Astyanax mexicanus: one gene and its partner. The protein of the gene in region 2 purifies or fractionates together with the protein of the main gene of each other region. This does not show direct contact. Links are inferred from orthologs where the notes say so. Each region holds a gene or a part of one and is shown on either strand. Other genes may lie near its edges.

Evidence for each region.
Region 1: the proteins of tepsin (region 2) and ap4s1 purify together in Homo sapiens (co-immunoprecipitation; 3 studies listed by BioGRID and IntAct, with this or other methods). This does not show direct contact. The link is inferred for Astyanax mexicanus from reciprocal best matches to the Homo sapiens genes TEPSIN and AP4S1.

The regions. Positions count from the first base shown.
Region 1 is NC_064421.1:45,452,599-45,463,702, reverse strand, and holds the start of ap4s1 (AP-4 complex subunit sigma-1), read left to right. Parts: upstream 1-6,346; 5' UTR 6,347-6,650; intron 6,651-6,970; coding exon of another isoform or gene 6,971-7,240; exon of another isoform or gene 7,241-7,508; intron 7,509-9,616; 5' UTR 9,617-9,651; coding exon 9,652-9,789; intron 9,790-10,871; coding exon 10,872-10,958; intron 10,959-11,091; coding exon 11,092-11,104. Other genes in the region: strn3 (striatin-3), read right to left, coding at 6,971-7,240. UniProt on the Homo sapiens protein: Component of the adaptor protein complex 4 (AP-4). Adaptor protein complexes are vesicle coat components involved both in vesicle formation and cargo selection. They control the vesicular transport of proteins in different trafficking pathways.
Region 2 is NC_064422.1:33,106,257-33,117,112, reverse strand, and holds the start of tepsin (AP-4 complex accessory subunit Tepsin), read right to left. Parts: upstream 4,290-10,856; 5' UTR 4,176-4,289; coding exon 4,137-4,175; intron 3,836-4,136; coding exon 3,763-3,835; intron 3,541-3,762; coding exon 3,449-3,540; intron 3,332-3,448; coding exon 3,238-3,331; intron 2,993-3,237; coding exon 2,925-2,992; intron 2,766-2,924; coding exon 2,684-2,765; intron 2,421-2,683; coding exon 2,352-2,420; intron 2,222-2,351; coding exon 2,033-2,221; intron 1,918-2,032; coding exon 1,731-1,917; intron 1,404-1,730; coding exon 1,290-1,403; intron 1,187-1,289; coding exon 1,108-1,186; intron 1,020-1,107; coding exon 885-1,019; intron 644-884; coding exon 92-643; 3' UTR 1-91. Other genes in the region: ndufaf8 (NADH dehydrogenase [ubiquinone] 1 alpha subcomplex assembly factor 8), read left to right, coding at 5,580-5,660, 6,520-6,630, 8,396-8,416. UniProt on the Homo sapiens protein: Associates with the adapter-like complex 4 (AP-4) and may therefore play a role in vesicular trafficking of proteins at the trans-Golgi network.

The sequences.
Region 1 (11,104 bases), on a different chromosome or scaffold from region 2:
GTTATTTTGGTTTGGAACAAATGGAGAAGACAAAACAAGGAAGGTGTGAAAGAGCCCTATTTAACAGGGGTGTGCAAATGCACACAAAAAGCTTGTCTTGTCCCAATACTTTTGTCCATATAAGTGCATATAAATGACTTAGAAGGAAAAGTTCATTAGTGGGACATAGGGTTGCAGCGGTATCCGGTTTCACGGTATACCATGGTATTAAAATGCACGGTTATCATACAGTGTGTGTTTGCTTATTACCGGTAAAACGCAAGCCAGCAGAGAAACTCACCCGCGCATGCGCAACTCTGCTCCGCTTCAGCTGCTCAGCATACAGCGGTGAGAACAGCAGAAAGTGCATCAGACTAAACAAATCTCCGTCCGCCTAAAAAAACTAAAATCAGCAGTGTGGGACTATTTCGGATACCCGCCGAACGCACCCGAGGATGGCTATCCGATTTCCACAGTTAATCCTGTTGGATGTGGTTGGTCCTTCTTGGTGGTATGCTGACATTACCCTGGATACCGTGGCTCTTGATACATCACAAAGTCTTGCTGCCTTGGTCACAGATGCGCCAGCAAGACGTGCACCAACAAAAGCAAATGTGACCAGCTGGACCCAACCAGCATGTTTACACTCAGCAACTATGTGGCTGTAAAGTCACAGCTAAAGATGGACATACGTCAAACCTGTTCTCCCATCTCCGAGAACACCACCCCGCTGTGCAGCGCAAAGTATGTGTTTAGTTTATAATTTTAATCTGAACCTAAATAAAACCTCTTTGTAGTCGTGCACAACCTATGCGGTAAGCTGGGTCACTCTTCATTTGGAACTGGACCGAGACCACCTCCTCTAGCAGGTCTCAGTCCAGTTGTTTTGATCTGTACCTGAGTGCAATTATTAGTATTCACACCTGCTAAAATGAACGACACTAAAAGTACAAATGAACCGAAGTCCGTTTTAATCAGACCAAACAGTGCTGGTGTGAAAACGCCCTAACAGAGTAAAAATCTTCTAGAAAAATAGTGTATTCCTTTCCTGTAAAACAGCTTAACCCAACATTATATCAGTATCATAGCATTCTGAAACTGGAATCACATTGCCTTAAAGTCATCTGTATCTTACAGGTAACAAAACACTTTTACATAGTGTCATTTTCTTTATTGCCTTTTACCACAATTTATATCAAAAATGCTAAGATCACCATTAAATTTTATGAAGTCTGATGAAGCTAGCAGCTACATGTTGCCACTCTAAGCTTTCTGGCACATCAGTGACAAGATGCCTTCTCCAGGAATGTTCATACATTTTTCAACAAGATAATGTAAAACCACCAGCTGGACACATTACAAAGGCGTGACTGAGAAATAAAAGGTTTCTATTATTGGCCTGCCTGCATTCCTGTCTTTTCCCTCAAAAGACACCCAAAACAATGAATTGCTTGGAATTCTCTTTACAAAAAATGTCTTGCTCTGAAATAGTGAGTTTACTATCCCAAGTTTTTTTTAGAATGTTTTTCTTTAGACTTGAAATGCAGGTAGTGGATTATCTCAATGCATTGTCACGCCATTGTCACTGCATTATTACATTCCTACTGTGTACTGAAACCATGGCTGGATATAGCATCACTGTTATATATAGTATGTTCGTTAAAGCACATTCTATTTTAAGCATTTAAGTCTTCCTCAACAAGTGCTAATCATACTAGTCCTGGGAATGCCATGTTCTGCACATTTGTGTGAGCTACCTATAAAAAATAAATAAATAAATATAAATATTTCTAGCTCTGCATGTGTCACATCACTGAATAAACATCAATTGAGAGGAACCAATACTGATATATTACAGGGAATAAGGTTCTACACCTCAAATGTGGTGCATACATTTTATTATTTCTACAAGAAAACTAGCAGCACTTACAACAGGATGAACCAAGATTTTCTGTAAATCTACTCGAGTTAAAAGTTTGTAGGCAACCCACTGAATTCACAGGCTGGAAACCCATTGCTTAACCTTTCATTTTCACTCCTCAATATCCAACCAGTTTGAAAAGCAAAAAAAGCCTTGTAGGCTGTTAAAATCTTAGTGAGCTAGTCCTAATTTATTCATGCTAGCCCATCAGCATTTGGCAGCCTTTGGCAGGCTGCGTCACTGAAATTTTCAACATTAAAAATTCATCAGTAAGGATGAGTGGGAAATTGTGTGCAAATGTGCCATTGAAGTTTCACAACAATACGTTTCAAACTATGATTACTGATTTTTTTTTGTCTCTTATTGCCACCAATATTAAATAGAGTTGTTTCATGAATTGACTGAACCAATACACAATTAAACATCCTGCATTTTTATAATGCCATACAGCATTATGCTACCCATACACTACTTGACTTTGAAAATACTATAAAAAAAGACTTTTAACAGACAAAAAAATCTGACACCCTCTCACACCTAAACACAAGTTACAGACTTTTTACTCACAGACGAGTCACATGATTTTGTCTAAACTGGGGATCACTATTTGCAAGACGGCAACTCAATTCTTTCTTTGCTTTTGGTGGAGTTTACATACAATACATAAAACATATTAAGTTACAAATAATGTGTTTATCAATACTGTGATTTACAACTTTTGTTCCCAACAACAGTCTATTTTTGTCACACTGTTAGTTCTTGATATTTAACAGAATACATTTTGTGTTCAATTCTGCTTGTAAGCTTCTTTTACCCCTTTTTTTTGCTACAACCTTGTATAGCAAAGAATCACAGTTTCACTGCTATACATCTGCCTTTGATTTAAATAGAATTAATGCGATAAAAAAATAATTCTTGCAAAATGTGTATTTATTAAACTTCATATAAAAAATAACACTGCACAATAAGACAAAGTAGTGCAAAATAAAATCACTTTAAATATAATGTCTAAAGTGCTACCTGTGTTTAAAATACTGTATATAGACTCTACCATATACGGCACAATAACTGCAAAATGTGTTCTTTCAAATTGTTTGTAAACATATTTTGAAATACTTATGATAATTTTAAACACTGCTGATTTTATCTGAACGCCAGGACGAGAAAAATACTGACTTAAACCTTTAATTTAACCACCTTACACCGAATGATCGAGATGAGGCAACAGCAGATCCACTCTAGCGCGACTCAAAATTATTTTCCCAACTCTGGAAATTTGTCTGCGTCGTTAGGAGTAAGGTCAGCATTAGACTAGCTTTTATTGAATATTGAGCCAAATATATTCAATACAAAAAAATAAGTATATCTCCTTTTCAATATTTTATTGAGTACATTTCTTATGATGGATCACTGTTTATCAGTCACCTTGTACCAAAGCAGAAAGCTTTTTATTTTGCAAATGGTTAAATAATAGCATTTACTACATTCAAAATAAAGCTTAAACCTGAGAATTTGACTGGGATAATTTTGTCTCATAGGTCATGACAGAAGATTCAGAAGAGCATTTTGCTGCCATGACCTACAAACCCTGATCTAACCCAAATAACAAGTGAGAAGAAGCGCTGATGTGCCTTCTAAGGAGGTCTCTACTAACAGCTCTGCCTCTTCTGTGAAATGAACAGCCCTGTAAGATCTTTACAGAACAGTGCCTGACATTGAGCCAGCCATTGTGTTAATATTAAAATTGTGTTAAGACTTTTTAAATTTTAATTTAAAAGCCGTTTGACCAGTGGTAGGATGGTCCCCCCTCAAATGTGAGTCTTGGTCCTCCCAAGGTTTCTTCCTCCTCCTGCAGCTCTGAGGGAGTTTTTCCTTGCCTCCGCGCTCACTGGGGGTTCTGTATTCTGTATTTTCTATGTTTAATGTTTTGCCTGATTCTTTGTCCTGTAATCATGTTTCTGTAAAGCTGCTTTGTGCCAACACCTGTTGTAAAAAGCGCTATACAAATAAATTTGATTTGATTAATATTAGGGTAGCTACAATCCATTAGGGCTGTGTTGTCTTCTCTCTTAAACACACACATACACCTTGCTGTGCACAAGACTTCCAGTCACATTTAACAGTAAATCGTAACCCTTAGTTGGCCTCTTACTTTTAAATTTTATATTTATATTTATTTAGGTCATTCACCACGCGTTATTGGAGTACTAAGCACACAGAACACTCTATAGGCAAATATGTCCCAAACCTAATAGAGCTCTATAGACCCATGGTACGCTAGAACAGGCGTCATCCTGAAAGTATGTGTCAGAGAACAAGTCCACACAGAAGCGGTGACAACAACACATCCTCCTCAACTTGATCCCACAGAGCTGTGTACTGTGCACACATTGCACAACATCATAACCTCCTGTCACAAGCCTTCAGCACCTTTTCATACATCACATTCACAAAACTCTGAACATCCACTTTTAACTTTCACAGAGAGGCAGACAAGGCTGCACTGTAGCCGCAATGTGTCTCCAGTAAGTGAGGAGAAGCGAATTTGTGTCGCATATAGTCATTTTAGTCTGAAATCACACCAGTAAGGTCTAACTTAACTTAAAATCATATTCCACTGGTTATATAAGAGCTAGAGATCTATAAATTATTTTTAATAAAACATAATGACAAGACATATATGCTTGATTTAATCTGGACTAGTTACATGCCACCACTGTTTTACCATTGAGTTCTCTCCCTTTCTCTTAACTATAATTCCATTTTACTAGTAAAAGCCACAGTTACGGGTCCCACAGCTACATTTTTACTTCTAGAAACTGTAGTTCCAGATATCTACACAGTAATTCAGATTAGAGATTGCAATAAAATTGAGATTGCAATAATAGTAGTAACACTAGTCAGAACCTGAATATCTAAAGTTATATTACATATAATACAACTTCACATATTACATATTACATCAGATTTGTCTAATTGTTAGCATTTGTACTAGTCTAAATAACTCTGCAGCTATCTAGAATTACATATTTTTCTAGCTCTCATTAGCACAATTAATGTTAGGTTACCCATTATGGGTTAACTGTACAACTTTTCTTTCCAAAGTGTTTTGGATTTGAGTTACTGGACATAAAGGCCAACTAATTTAACTATAGTTAGTGAGTTGTTGCATGTTGGCTGTAACCCTTCTAAAAAGGTCTCACTCCAATACTTCTACATAAAATATTACAAACTACTCAAACCAAACCGAACACAACTGAAATATTAGAGTGAAAAGACTTTACCCATCCTAAAACAACTAGCTAGCCTAATACTTGTTTTTGTTTGTACACAGTCCTCTCAACCAACAGTATGGCTAGCTAGGAGTATGAAGTAGGGGTAAGATGAAACATCAACACAGGGGTACATTGTATTTTTATCTGCAATAGGATATTGTCATGCGGGGTCCAACATCAATATTTGATTTCTGTTCGAATTAAGCTTATATTACACATATTATTTGGAAAATAAAATATTTGTGCTCTACCCAGACATTTTACCAGCAGCAGAATAGTTCTACTTTATGGCACTTAGGACTGGGAGAAATTGTAAAAAATAATACACATTACTTTAAATATACATGCTACTCACAATAACTTTTATATTAAACACAGTGTAAACAATTTTACTTGTATTTAAGTTATGGAAAAGTATGAAATATGAAAATCACAGTTCTTTACAGGTTTTTGACAGAAGCAAATGTCTATCTACTGAAACAGTTATTAGACTAATGTCCCAGCACTGATAGCAGTTTATGGATATTTCACAACATTGGAATAATACCACATTTGAAAGAGCTGCAGTCAGTTTGCTTATTTGAGTATTTTATTTTGTTTAAACGTAATAAATGCTAGTTAGTTGGTTTAAAGTGTGAAAAGACTTAATCCATCAATTCAGTTTTTTGTTAGTAAGGTCTGTTTTGGAAGTTTCGTTGTATGAAGACGTTTTCGGGTTTTTAGCACTGCCAAGCTGTATTCTATGTTTTGTTTCTGTATTTTTAGGAAGAAATGAACCCAGTTATGTCTAAATCGAATATTAGTATAATATTAGCTAACAGCTAATGACAACCCAGGTAAAACCTCACGTCTTGTCAACGTCAGGATGTATTCACCTAACCTAGCTATTTTCTCCATTTTTGTTCAATACAGACATCTTTATTAGCCAAGATAGGTTAGTAAACTGCCTTATAGCTAAGTGAAATATATTGTGGGCAGTAAGGCATCAACTGGGCATTTATTTCACACTTTTCAGACACAGTGATTCCCACCCCTAGTATGAAGTATGTCGGCTAGCTACGATAAATCTAAAGCTAACAAGCAAAATCACTGTAACCCAGATTACGTTAGTTATTTTAGCTAGATCAGTTAACCCCTCATCTCCACACTATCTGTCCGAGGTTTTGAAGGGGTATTTCTGTGTCAGTCCACTGCACTGCTTAACTAAAGCTCAGAGTAAGCTGTCTGTTCTGTTCTGATCGAGTAAACGCGGAGAGAAGTCCCCGGACGGGTCGCTAACGAGCTGAAGTAGCTTCATAAAGACTGGAAGCACGCCGACGCCATGATGACCAAAACAAAATGGCTGAACGGGAGATTAGTTGACAAAGTCAGCAGGGCTGCGTGAGGAGCGGCTTCCTCCGGGTTACCACAGCTGAGGGTGAACTGTATCAGCTCAGAGGAACCGCACACAGCGAGGAGAAGATCCCACATCGTAGGTAAGGAGCACAGACAGGAGACGGACATGTATTTGTGAGCTGTGGTCTCTTCTCTGATCCAGAAACGCTAGTTAAATTAGCTTAGCTAGCATTAGCTGGGGATAACCTAGCAAGCCAGCCATATAACAAGGGGTTAGCTAGCTAACTAAGTACGTTAGCTATGCAGCTATGTTATTTAACTAGGTAGTAAATTAAGGGGATCTGGCACCTTTTAAACATTGTTTAGCTAGGTAGTTAGCAAGCTAACTTAACGCATAGCTCAGTAAGTCTCTAGCTAAATCCATAGCTTATCTTAGCTTAGCATATCATAGCATAGCTACCTGCAGCTCGGCCCGCTCCACTTCCCAGTGCGCCCGCTCCATCTCGAACCGGGCCCACTCGTGCTGGATGTAGTGCAGGATCCCCGGGATCGTGTACTGCTGCGGCCGCGGCATCTCGTCTTGCTGCTGGACCGCTGGCGCCGTCCCCCCGGGTCCGATCTGGGGATTAACGGCGTTATGGTTTCCCTGCTGCGGCGCTTGCTGCTGTCTGGCGGTGGCCATTCCTCCCCCTGCTGCTGCTCCTCCTCCTCCGCCGGGGTGTTCATCCATTTTCTTTAAAAATAGCAATGTCCCGCTCCAAGTCGCCGCACGACCACAGTCGCGCTCGCTCCCTCTCTCTCTCTCGCCGATCCCCCGCCCCCTTCGCCCTCGGTAAGCAGCGCTCGCCCCGCTACAGGCTGCTGCGGGTTCGCCCGCGGCGCTGGACGCGGTGTGTGCTCCGGGCTCAGAGTGAGCGCACGGCTCCGCCGGCCGCCATTAGTCCGCTCCCTGGATGAGAGTCTCCTCACTGCGGGCGACAGGGGGATTCAGCTCGCGCTGCATGACGGGACCCAGCTCACCCAGCCCTGCTCTGCTCTCTACCGGCCAGACACAGAACACAGCGGCGCAGACAGAGCGCATGCGCAGACTGAGAGCTGTCGCCTCACAGCACTCACAGTTAGCTATAATAACAGTAATCTCGAAGAATAATATATAAGGGCTATTCCACAGAATGAATGATTTTAAATTACTTTTTTTCATCTGTTTTCAACTCTACTATATTTTTATTTGTCCTGTTACCAAAACTTATGACATTTAAAAAGCATGTTCAAAAGTAAGTAAGTAAGAACTAATTCATTTGATTTTCTGTCAAGAAAGTCATTATTTGAATTAAGTGGTCAAAAATATATTTATGACAAAAATCACTATATATGCATGCACATTGTAGTTTTCTAAAAGATGCAAAGCCATATTTGTTTTTTTTTTTCAAGACCCAAACCTGAAATGAAATGGCACAGATTTTGCGGAATATGCCATACAATACTACTTCTAGAGTATGAAGGAACACATAAGGAATCTTATTGAAAGTTTATTGAAAAAAGATGTTAAACAAACCTTACAAAATACTCTGAGAAAAACATTAAGCTGGCTCTTATCTGGTGTGCTGTTTAAAACCTGAGGTATCTAAACTGGTAACCTAACTATGATGAGCTTATCCTGTGCAACAGAGGTACCTATTGGTCCTCCTTTCTTGGGGCAGTCCTGATGAGTGCCAGTTTCATCACTCAACGTTTTGAGGAAAGGGGCTACACCTGCCACACCTGTCAATCACTCCTGAACCCTTCTGAAAGACAGCCTCAGATTTGGGCTACTGAGAAAAAGAACTGGACTGTTGCTCAGTGGTCAAAAACCTCTTTCAACTCTTTTAACAAGAAGTTCAAAGTACAGTGTGAATTTCCGTAATCTGTGATTGTTTGGGCAACCAAATCATCTGCTGATGCTGGTCCACTGTGTATTTTTAGGTTTTAGAACACTTTGTGCTTTCGAATGCTGACAAGCTATATTGAGATTTCCTGTAGCAGAATGACTTGGCACCTGACCACAGTACTAAAACTACTGGCAAATGGTTTGCTGACCATGATATTGTTGTGCTCGATTGGCCAGCCAACTCTTTAGACCTAAACCAAATAGAGAATCTGTAAGACACTGTCAGGAAGATGAATAACACTCGACACAGCAATGCAGATGAGCAGAAGGCCACTACCAATGCAAACTGGGCTTCAGTAAAATCTTTCCATTGCCATAGCAAGCTGATTGCATCCATGCCACACCACACTGATGCAGTATGGTATGATGCAGTTTGGTATGAATGTATGGTAGAGAAGTCCCAACCATGTATTGAGTGTTAAAACGAACAAATTTGAGTGTTGTTTTTCTGTGTGAACGTATGCAATACTTAAATTATAAAAGATGCTGAATTTTTAATTTTAATGAGCATTAAGTGAAACTGGTCAAAAATAAAACAAAAAATATATATAAAATTGAATTATGAACAAAAATACACTTTTATCTGATTTTCTCCCCAATTTACATGGCCAATTACCCAACCCACTCATTCGGGTTCCCCTTATCACTAGTGATGCCCAACACCAGGAGGGTGAAGACTAGCATATGCCTTGATGCAGCATTGCTTGGAGGAAAGCGCAGCGACTCGGTTCTGATACATCAGCTCACAGACGCCTTGTACTGATCAACATCACCGTAGAGAGAGCAAGGCCAATTGCACTCTCTCAGGGCTCCGGTAGCTGACGGCAAGCTGCAGGAACAGGATTCAAACCGGCGATCTCCTGATCATAGTGGCAGTGATTTAGTCTGCTGGACAACTCGAAGACTTACTAAAATACTTTTTTTATTATTTATTTTACAATATTATAAATTATAACAGTACACATACATGATGCGTGATAATGTATGAGTAACACAATCTTAATAACCGTAATTTGCAAATAAACCCAATTACAGTAAAACTGTAAATACGTATTAATTATGGCATTGACAAAACAATAACATAATAAAAATAATAAATAATAAAATTATAAAAAACAATAACAGTGTTACAGTTTTAGCTGCATAATCTTTTTTTTCTTTCTTTTTTTCTCATTCTAGTGTTCTTTATAGTGTTCCCACCTTCCCAATTGACCATGATCAAGTTCCTGTTGATGGTCAATAAGCAGGGGCAGACTCGCCTGTCTAAGTACTATGAGCATGTGGACATAGGAAAGAGGGCTGCCCTGGAAGCAGATGTGGTCAAAGGTTGTTTATTTCGCAAGAAAGAGGAGGTAAGTCTCACGTTTTTCTGTCTCGTTTATAACTAATGCTTCCTAATAAAATAAATCCTTTACAAAGGCACCTACTGCTGTTCCTAACCAGTCATAAATGAATTAAAGTTTACTACTTGATTTGACTTGACGGAATTGTTGTCCAGTAACTTGCAGCCCAGATATAATATGTGTTAGAAATGTGTAGAGCAGGGTGTGAAATGGATTTAAAACTTGCCGGCAAAAGACTTTTACTGTGAGGGGTCAAGCATTCAGGCCTGGACTTTTTCACACCTGCACTTTATAGTTTCAACTAAAAATGAGCTAAAAAGGACCCTGGGTTCAGTTTTTTTTGGGGAAGGTGTGAATACAGTAATTGCAAAATAACTGCACCCCTGGAGTAGGTGTTTTGCTTCAGTCTCATGTACTCTGAGTGGTTTGTTTGTGGCCAAAACATAATCTAACCCTGATTTGCCACAACTATTAGCTATAATATACACCCTACATATACAGATGTGCTTTGGAATTACGCTTATACATTTCAGAAATGCTCCAAGTTTACAAACTTGTCAACTGTTTCAGACCAGAGCAATCCAACTATATGTGTAAAAACTCCACATATGCACTTCCTTTCCTGTGAAAAACGTAATTACGTGTAAGTAACTTAACTTAAGCGTGAGTAATAATGTCAAAATACCCTGTTTATTATTTTGCCTGATTCTCTGTCATGTGATCACTTTTCTGTAAAGATGCTTTGTGACAACATCACTTGTGAAAAGTGCTATACAAATACATTTGTTTAGATTAGATTAGATTTGATTTCCAGCAAGACCTTTAATTCCATCCCATGTGCTATTTTTTTATTGTTCCCAGGATGGTGGGACAGAGTTAGTATGGAGCCCTGGTAAAAACCACATATTTAAAAAAAAAAAAGCCACAAATACATGGGATGATCTTGAAACTGTGAAGCATGGTGGTGGTAGTGTAATGGCATACTGAAATGTACAATGATCAAAGAAAACTCCTTCACTGACTGTTGATGCTGTTCTTCATTATTTCTATATTTTTTCATGGTTGTTTGTCATGTTTCCTCCTTTTTTCAGTGCTCATTTGTGGAGTATAAGGACTACAAACTGGTCTATCGTCAGTATGCAGCTCTTTTTATTGTCGTCGGCATCACTGACAATGAAGTGAGTTCTTACTTGCTCTGGGTATTGATAATAGTGATCATGGCAAATAATGATTACGCTGTAAAAGAAAAACATATACTTAGTTAAATTGTTATTAACATTAATGTTTTTTTTATGTTTACTCACCGTTCAGAATGAACTCTCCA
Region 2 (10,856 bases):
TTGAGGGGTTTGGTGTTTAAATATTACTTTTAGGTCATTAAATAATACTACACCCTGGACCAAGGTGTTTCAATCAGAAGGCAAAGGAAGATCAGAGGTTGACGAAGGAAAAGGCAGAGATTTGTTCACCACTAGTAGATAAAGAGGAGTCTGCAGTTCTTTCTGAGCTTTTCTCCACAGCAAAGCCTGTGTAGCCTTCTGCCCCAGTCTGGACATCTGGCTCGACAAGAACAGGCTCAACCAGACACACAGGCTTCCCTCTGTTTACCAGCTCCATCCCACTAAACAGTGAGAGAGTAGGATGGTGTCTAGCGGGCTCTGTGTATTTGTCCTCATCCTCATGTACAGTCTGCGGGTCCTCTACCTGCACTCCATTCTCAGCAGATTCTCCCACAGCAGCAGCAGTCACAGTATGCTCTTGTTTTAGACCATGTTCAGAAGAAAGAGCATGTGGGAAATTTGTGGATGACATGCTAGAAGGTGCTTCAACATCCAGAGTAGTTGGGAGAAGAAGTGGGCTGACAATGGTGGGATTTAATGGCTGCTTTGAGAGCGAGGGGCTGGATGATTCTGGACAGACTGCAATGCCAGTCTTCATCAGGGGCGTGGAGCTGCCCAGGAGTGCCTCAAACTGTCTAAGGAGCTATACAGTACATAAGAGAGATAAAATATATTCAATAATACATACAATACTAGTATAAACAGCTGTTGCTCAGTGGTGGAGAAATCAGGTCCAGAAAGTAAAAATCCTTCCCGACTGAGCTGCAGCACAGCTTTCCAGGAAATGGGAGCAAAATTCTAGGAAGGATTTTTATTTTCCTGATCTGAATTGTACACCCACTGCTATCACTAAAGATACAAAGATTTAAAGCAATTTATTTAACCTTTGTTGACTTGTTGGCTACAGGTCCTTCCACTTCCTCACTGAGCTGGGCCAGGCGCTTATGTGTAACACAGAATATCTGGTCCAGAGAGAGGAGATCTGTAGACATCAGGCAGGCCAGGCCACACAGGGCCCTCTGCGGAGAGGAGAAAGAACTTGCTTTATCAGTTGCTTTGCCAAACAGAGACATGAGATAGCAAATACTAAAGAATAAATAAATGTACCATTTGGACAGTCTGTGCTGTTTCCTTCAATTTGTGAGAGAGAAGTTCTACCACAACTTCACAGTTTAAAGTAGAACACCTAGAGAAGCAGGACAAAGAAACAGTTAATTAATCTGACTTTACTGCCAACAAGTATTTTTTATACTTTTATTGGGATACAGCCTCAATATACAAATGCTTACTCTTTAATGAAGTGCTGGCTCTCATCTCTGGACAGGAAGATTTTGGAACCATTAGTAAGACTGCTGATCAGCGCCATCTCCTGACCACAGTCTCCCAACTGCATGGCCTCCACACTGAGAGAGAAAATATTTACCTTTACAGTGGGCTATTCACTCACAGATCCTACATGCATTAATAAATAAATTCTATGTAAAATATAAATAAAAGCTTATAACTAAGCTTTTAGGTTTCACCCATGAACATTTTAGAAAAAATACTAATTCTTCATAACATGCTATAAATAAATGTGCATTTTATTATTACTTCTAGAGTTAAATTGTGTCCATAACATGAACACTAGTCTTGTGTTCATGAATTCAGACAACTTTCCCTCAAGCTCTTTATTCACAGAACCACAAAGTGGGGAAAAAAGTTTCAAGCAGACTAATGAGATCCCTTACCGTTCTGCCAAGTCTCCACTCTCTCGACTGGCCCCCGAATGGCTGCCTGTTTCACCGGATTTGCTGCTGTCCCCCCTGGAAGTGTGGCTAAGTGGCTCAATCTCAAGAGAAGAGTTGTGAGAGGAGCTGTGCCCACTACCAGTCTCCTCCCAACCTCCACCTGCCTGTCCTGGACATCTGTGAGAAGCTAGAAATAAGGAATTTGATTTTAATGATGAACAAAACTCCCGTATATAAACAGAATCCAGAATCCATAGCTTGGACGAAGAGCTGTTATGAGGGTCTGTGTGTGCACAGCTAACCTTTGTGGCTGTGAGTGGGCACACTGTAAGCACATGCTGGCATTGCCACCTCCACTGCAGCAGAGGGAGCAACCACTGCCCGATAGTGGTTGTCATATAGACGAATCCCAGGCTGCTCTGTTGGTGGAAGGACAGCACTGGCAACTACCTCTGCAGCCTTCTGAATTTTACCCAGAAGAGTCGCTCTGTCTTGGGAAGAGATATTGTATATATGGAGGATGAGGACAGATACATGGAGCTACATAATTTAATGCAGGCATTTAATTGCTGTAAAAAAAAATCACAGTTCGTTTTGGTAAAGTGAAAATTACTCTCTTACTGGATGTTTTCCTTCCAGGGCTGTTTCCAAATCCCTGCATTCCTGAGCGGAGAGATTCTGATCCCATTCCTGCCGAACAAAATAAAATAACAGAATATTACACAGATTGTGGCTACAGAAAATATCTTTATGCTTAAATTCTTTAATTAGCTGTTATTATCAGTAAATAAACAGTCAGTTGACAATGATAAGAATCGTGCTTAACAAATACACATGCACAAATGTTGGACAATACAGAATCCTTCACAACTTTTTTCATGGGTATCATCACATAAACAGCATTTTTCCATAAAAAAAGAAACTTAACATTTCCATCAAGAAAGCTCCCTTACCCAGGCTTGGAGTTGCAGCTTTGCATGGCGAGAGTCCAGAGTTTGCAGACATTGTATCATTAAACAGCACACCGGCCAGTTCCTATAAAATAGCCACAATCAAACATTAAATCTTTGTTCATTTAAAAATTAAATGTGTCAGATAAACTGTTAATATTATAAGGCAAAGGAAGAAACAGATAATTACAAAATCTCAGGTTTGACAACCTCAGTATTTAACAGAGAAAGACACACATCTCACCTGCGCTGCAACCCTGACCCTTTGAAAGGGAGCATTGCCATGAATGGGATCTGGTGGACCACTGTAAACTGAGAGACCACACAACATGTCAGTCTGCTTTAAGAAATGGGTGAAAATGTTGTGTACCGGTAAGTTAGGCTGGTACTTTTGTACGTCTACTCCAAAAAATAAGGGTTTAAAGTACTCTATATGTGTGTAAATAAAGTAACCATATCCAAGTACAGTGTCCATTTTATTCAAAGGATCTAGGTCTGTTGCAATAATTACAATATCGTTTTGTCGTATAATATATGAAAAAGAAAACACTAATTACCAGTTACTTCTTGGATGAATGTAGCATTCCGCCTCAGTTCTGTGAGAAAGTGAGGAGGACCATGTCCACACAGATGCAGGAGGATCTTCAGAACCTTGGACAGAGAAATGAGGGGTGAGAAATCTCAAAGAAACAGACAATCACATTTAATCAACTCCTCATTTCCCTCCTCTACGATACAAATGGAGGTTTGTGCTTGAGTTTCTCTCACCTTCAGTTTCACATGGCAGGACTCCACCTGCAGACGCTCCAGGAGGTACTCCAGAAGACACTGGCAGCAGCCCAATGACTCATGTGAGATTTCTATGATTTGAAGTGAGTGAAGGAATTTGATGGAGAACAGTTGTGTTCATTTTGTGTTCAAGTTGTGTTCAAAACAACAATGTTCATTGTACTCAAACATATATCTATAAAACAGCAAAATAAGAGAATCTGATTTAGAAACTAAAGTGGTCTCTTAATTTTTTCCAGAGCTGTGTGGGTAATGTGTTGTAATGAGAGTGAAAGCTGCTGGGAGAAGGATACTGTTGATGTCCTGGAAGAGGTAGCCGGGGCAGGGCACTTCGTCATCTGCTGTTGCCTTCATGAGGGTCGGCACCTAAACAGCAGTCAGGGAGAAGACAGGGTTAGAGACTGCGGCGCTCAGCAAAACCAGCTGAAAGCAAGAGTAAAATAGGGGGTAAAATATAAATATAGTATAAATATAAATGTCAGAATCCTCTGACAGCTAACAGGCTAGCTAACCCTGCTGTGTAACTCTACGGGAGTTTGCTAGCGTTAGCTAGTTAGCCAGTTAGCTGCGGCTATCACACTGTAGCTAAACACTCCAGAGTAAAATCCAGATAGCAGATATCTTTGCTCGCTGGTCTCCCACACAAAATGCCGTGTCTGATACCTACTTTCTGAAGGAAAGTCAGCCTTTCCATTAGTGTAGCCATCTCGTTCCGATGAGCAGTCCACCGCTCTGTGTACCATTGCTGTGCGTGACTTGGTGGATGACCGTGCACTTAGCGAATCACTGCATCTGTTAGTGAACACCTCGAACCGATTCTTAACCCGTTCAGACCTGAATTATGTTCCAGTAATGAAAGAAAATGCTGTTTCTGTTTGTAATGTAATGCACTCACAAACAAGTTAATTATTTTGTAAATAAAATAATAAATAAAGTAACTAATAAAAAATAATTAGTTTAACATTATTTTTATCCTATATAACTTTTAAACACCTTCTTTTATTTTGCAAATCATTCCTGTGGAGTAAAACCAAATACATGATAGGAAAAAAATATTTTGCCTCATTAGCTGTGATGCTGCCATGCTTTTCTTTCAGTGTGCAGATTAATTTAGATTAATTAGATTAATTCATTTTAAAAAATAGATGTATATCTGTTAAAAGGGTTAAGTTATGGAACAGTTGTGAAAAATGTTTAAGAATGCCTAACATTACTGAATGTTACTGAACATAAAGAAAGTGTCATCAGTCCTTCTGATTCTGATGCCACTGATGTTTAAAGATTACTTTCTAAAATGGGCATTCATCCCAGGATGACAGGGTGAACAGAAAAATTATGGATACGTTTAAATATCTTATTTTTTTTAATTAAAGTAGCTAATTAAATAATTAAAATGCCTAAATTATACAAAAGAGTTCAGAAATTAATATTTGGTGGAATAACCCTGGCTTTCAACCACAGTTTTCATGCACCTCCACCAGTCTTACACTCTGCTTTTGGATAACATTATGCCTAATTTTTAGGTGGTCTCTTATTTTTATTTTTCTTAGGTAGTCTTTTATGATTAGGTATTTAAACAACTATGCTGTCAAAATGTAATATTTAAAAGCAGAGTCGATTCATTGAACACGACAGTTCAAAAGAATCGATTCTGGAATTTGAATCACGCTCTTCAGTACTACAACGTTCTGTCACGACCTTGCCGCACAAGCCCTAATGATTCATTGGTTCATCTGTTTTACTGAAATGTCTTTAGTAGCCAATCAGCAAAGATAGTCAATTTTAGGGGGCGGGTCATACAGATGTTTGACCAATCACTGGTGTGAGAGGGCGGGCCGTTTCTTCGTCACTAACATGGTGAGCACGGGGTGAGTAGTGCCTGCTGTTGTTTTCTGTCAGTAATATGATTTAATCATGTGTTTTTGATCAGAGTGTTAAAGCTGAGTGTTGGAGTTTATGGGTAATTGATGTATATTGTTAAACAGTGTAAAACAGCGCGGTATTTTACTGTTAAATGTGTGTTATCTCTCTCTGTGTGCAGGAGTTAGCCTGCCTGTGAGCTAATGTTAATAACTGTGGGTTGTGCTGAGACTTAAAGCTGATCAGAATCATGTCAGGGACAAACCCCTGGACCCGGAGCCGAGAGAGGATGAGGCGGTTCCCCGACCTGCTGGCCCAGTGCTTCACAGAGGTACCTGTATGATGGTGCCCATACCTGTCCAATGCTGTGTTCATCTGCTGTTCCTCTGGTCCTACATGACTTTGAAAAGACTCTGAAAAGGCTTAACAGACTAAAGTCTGACACCCTCTCACATCTAAAGACTAGTCACAGACTTTTTACTCACAGACTAAGATTTTGCAAAGACTGGGGGTCACTATTTGCAAGACTGCAACTAGATTCTTCCTGAGATTATTTCCCATCATGCTTCTGGTTGAGTTTACATACAATGAATATAACATCCTGAGTTACAAATAATATGTATATCAATACTGTGATTTATCAGAGACTGACAACTTTTGTTTTTTAATATATTTTGTGTTCAACTCTGCTTATAAGCATCTTTTTCCCACCCCCTTTTTTGCTACAACCTTGTATAGCAAAGAATCACAGTTTCACTGCTGTACATTTGTCTTTGTTTTAGATAGAATTAGTGCAATAAAGAACATCATTCTTGCAAAATGTGTATTTATTACATTTGTTTGTATCAGAAATAACACTACACAATAAGATAACGTAGTGCAAAATAAAATAACTTTAAATATAATGACTTTAAAGTGCTAACGTTACCTAGAAAGAAGAAGAGAAAAAGAAACATAAAAGGCTTATTAACTGAAAACTGTGTTCTCTTTCAAATCGTTTGTAAACAGTCATATATTCAAATATTCTTGACCTGCGGCTTCCCGTAGATCTCCTATTGGTTGATGACATCGTTCACATCACTATTTGCGAGAGCCGAGTCTCAAGACTTTCGATAACATTTTAACAGCAGCTGTAAACTAAATGATTTACAGACAGCTGATTAACTGTTCTCTGACTCTTTTTCCTACAGGCAGCAGTTTATGGGAAATGTGTGGTCTCCACTACTACTGGTAAACAGGAGCTGAAGAAAGATTTATGTGTAAAAGAGTTTGAAGCCCTGAAGACCTGCTTTGTCTCTGCTGTGAGTAAACCTAAAACCATTAGCACACTGCCCGGCCAAAAAAAAAAAAAGTCGGCACCTGGATTTAACTAAGTAAATGATGTGGGGTTGATGCTGCAGTTAGTCAGGTCTAGATTCAGCAACAGTATGAAGAATGAGGTCAGCTGACTACCTGAATATACTGAATATAGACCCGGTTATTCCATCAGTGGATTTTTTTCTTCCATGATGGCATCATGACAATCATCAATCCTGCAAGATCTTGGTGAAAAATTAATGCAGCACTGGATTTAAATAAATCTTATGACAAGCTTATTGAAACAATGCCACAGTGAATGCAAGCTGCAATCAAAGCTAAAGGCGTTCCAACGAAACATTAGAGTGTGTGACCTTTTTTTTGGTGGCGACTTTTTTTTGGCCAGGCAGTGAATTACAATATGTTTTATTGTATACAGTACCTGTCAAATGTTTGGTCTTCTTTTCATTAAGTGTGTTTTCTTTTTTTTATATATATATATATGTATATATTTTTTTATATTGTACATTTAATAATGAATACATTAAAGCTTTTCAGGAACACATGTGGAATGATTCTTCTAAATGGCCACATTTATCTTTGGGGACAGATCTGCACACACAAATGGGTATTTTAATCTCAGTGTCTTCATGATGTAGAGTCACGTGGAATAGTTTTCTCAACCTCTCAAAGGAGTTCCTGAAGGTGCTGAAGCAGCAGCTGAACAATAGTCGCTGCTACTCCGTCACGCTGTAAAGCTTCGGCTCATCCCAAATCACCCAATCTCAGTTGGGTTTAGGTCAGGGGATTTTTTTTTGTTTACTACGTAAATCCATATTTGTCCCTTAATTATTTTTGTCTTTTCTATTTATCTACAGTGTAGAAAATAAATAAAGAAATAAAGAACATTGAATGAGAAGGTGTGTCCAAACTGTATAATAACAGCAAACGTGTCAAATTGTGGGGAACATTTAATATAATGGGAATACAACAGAACATGATTTGATTTAGACTAACGTCTGTCAGTACTGAAACTCATACAACATTAAATAAAATGGAAAACATTAAGAGATTGGCATTAATTAGCAAATTAAACAAAAAGTCCTTACTCTGAATTGTAATATTTGAAATTATGCTTTTTAAAAATTGTTCTTATGAAAATCAAATGCCATTTGAAACAGAAGGGCCCAGATGCATATCCTGCATTTCAGTGAAGGTTTTCTTTTTTATCTTCCATGGCAAATGGCAAAAATCATGAGACATGATACTATTCTGTCCCGTTACTTGTGGTATATTAATGTAACTGTATACAGAAACTAAAAATGTCTTAGATTTAACAGCGTGACCTTTTTGGTGTTATATAAATCAATTTTTTTGCGGAACAATCAACAAGAAGGATTTTTTTGCTGTCATTGTTTTAGGTGCAGATTCAGACATTCATATTTCAAACTAAATAAATTTTCACACCACCCTTCTCACTTCTTAAATTATGTAGTTTGGATAAAATAAACCACCTGTTGGATTTGTATATATTAAGAGAAGAGTGCATCATTTGGATGGATATGAACACAGAAGTACATGATGTGTTCTTATATATGTGTATACCGGTAGTTTTTGAAGCCCTTAGGATTTTCACTCTTATTTGTCGTTACTTTAAGCAAACTAAAAGTTTAAGTTTGTTTGTATTTGTATAGTATGTGTTCTCTGACCTTAATATCTAAATTGTTTTAATATTTATTCTTAATTAACTTAATGTATTTTTCTTTGCAGGCAAAACGGGGTGTGAAGTAGATGGAGTGCACAAAGCCATTCATTGACCATCATGTTTTATAAACATACATTTATTTGTATAGTTACAATATAAAAAAACAGTTGCTGCCATTTTTATTTACCAGTATAAATAGTGACATTATTTTTAATATTTGAATAATATATGTTGGTTCAGCATATATTTGTATTGTCCTCGTGTATAAAACATAAATGAATTGTATGACACTTGGTTTTGTGTGAGCATGAGTAATAATAAAGAATGAATGTGAATAGTAAGGAAATGGACCGCGTGGTTAATTTAAACTCTGCCACAGAGAAGCATGGGCCAGTAATTCTGACAGCCCCACTGCTTAATTAAATAGATTAGAGGAAGATATGGATGAAAGAATTGAACTAACCATAACCAGACTGTTCATTTGTTTTAGACAGAGAGACGGCGGGGGTAACTGGCTGCATGTAGAAACTGAAACAGGCAGGATGAGTAATGAGGTGTGTTACGGCTCTAAGGGTGGCACCGTCCGGCTTTAATTGCTGCTCTTGGATCTGTTTTTTAAGGGATACATTAAAAGACATAGCTTTGAAGAACTGGTCGTAGCTCAGTCAGAGCAGGAGATGAACATAAAAAAAGGCAAGCTGATTAATGCTTTGCCATGGGTTTCATGTCACTGGCACCCCAAAAGCTTATGCACTTCAGCTTACCACATATGGAAATGCAAGCTGCACCAGTATTATTGACGCCCTGCTGGAGAACCCACACCCTTGTTAGCCAGATGTTAATTGATGGAGTGGCCATAAAGGCAAGTCAGTAATGACTTGGGATCAACATACAATCCAAACAGCCAATTAGAGAATGGGTAAAAGGCTTGAGTATATAAATGTTTGCAGCCAACGGCTTGGAGAGCTGTGGAACTCTGCTTGAGGTATCTCTATAGAAAAAAAAAAAAACGCATGGAAATTCGTCTTAACCTCACTCTACTCTGACTCAGGCACTGTTTGTGGCTTGTCTTTATGTGGTGGTGCTTCACACTTTTTTTAGTGCACTACAAGGTGTTAATTAAAAGAGTCTGGCCCACTGGAAGTGCTCTTGTTCTGCCAAACTTGGCCATTAGCCTTAATGGTAGAGCCTTTGAATTTTCTTGAGTATGGTCTTCATTTGGAAATCATTTCATTTTTTTTTCAGTTTCTCTTGAAAGATAATCCATTACATATAAGTTTTTGTCTGTTTTACAATATATTTATATTTTATTATTAATTTATTATTATTAAATATAGACATATATTAGGATCTAACAATAGAGAGTTGGACAGTTTAGTACTGCTTTAGGTCCATGAATTCAGGGCTGTAAAACTCTAAACATAGAAATATTCATTGATTTTGGAAACATCTGTCTGTGAGATTATTGGCTGGTTGTAAAGTAGAAACCTGGTTATTGTCTGACCCAACATTGTCCTATTATTTAATTACTGATGTACATGTAAACACATTCATTGGATTACTGACAATATCTGATTTCTGCAGGTATTTGATTGTTAATTAATTTAAATGCTGTTATCAGGGGTGTCAGTTCCAGAATATCAGTTTAACATTCAAAGCTACCTACTATTCCAAAATAAATTACTAATATACCACAAAGAAGGATTTACTATCCACACAGTTAATAGCATAATCACCAGTTTTTACACACTATTTGTTTACGCACAGTTGTGAATATTCCATAACATTACAATCTGGTGGTGGACCCACATTAACATTTATGAAAAGTAATAACAGACTTTCAGACATTACAATGGCCATTTTAACACCTATTTTAAATGCATGTATGTGTTAAAACAGGATATTTATCTCCAGAACATACAGTATATCTAATTTAAAAACATCATCCCCCTGTGGCTCAGTAGGACCACAGGCAGCTGCATATTGTTGCCTAGTGTTACAACCACCTATAACCCCATATAGGAAAAACCTCTACAGCACTCTGATTCTGGGTCAAAACTCATTTTTTAGTTTTAGATGACAAGTAATTGTCATCTGTGTAGTAATCATTTGAAACACCAAACAATGGTATGTACAGATCAGATTTTATTCCCGAAGCACAGAAGAGATGTAGCTCACAGTGTTTTTAAAAGGCTTTTTGACTGAAAAATGTCTAATGTATGCTCCTTGCTTGGTCAAATGTCCAAACACATAAAATAAAACAAAATAAAAGCTCAGGTCCAATTTCAAATGAGGTTTAACACAAGAGGGTTCATCACTGCTTTACACATTAGAAACATTAATGAAGTCTTTTACAGTACAGTCAGTGAACAGGAACTATAGGGGGCAACCTGGAGGAGCAAGCATCTCTCACCCTCTTAAAGAGTGGACACGACTGACAAATAAGGCACTGAAAACACAAAACATTCATAGCCAAGAATAAGGACTGTAGATGGTCCATGGAAAGATAATGGATTTGCACAGACA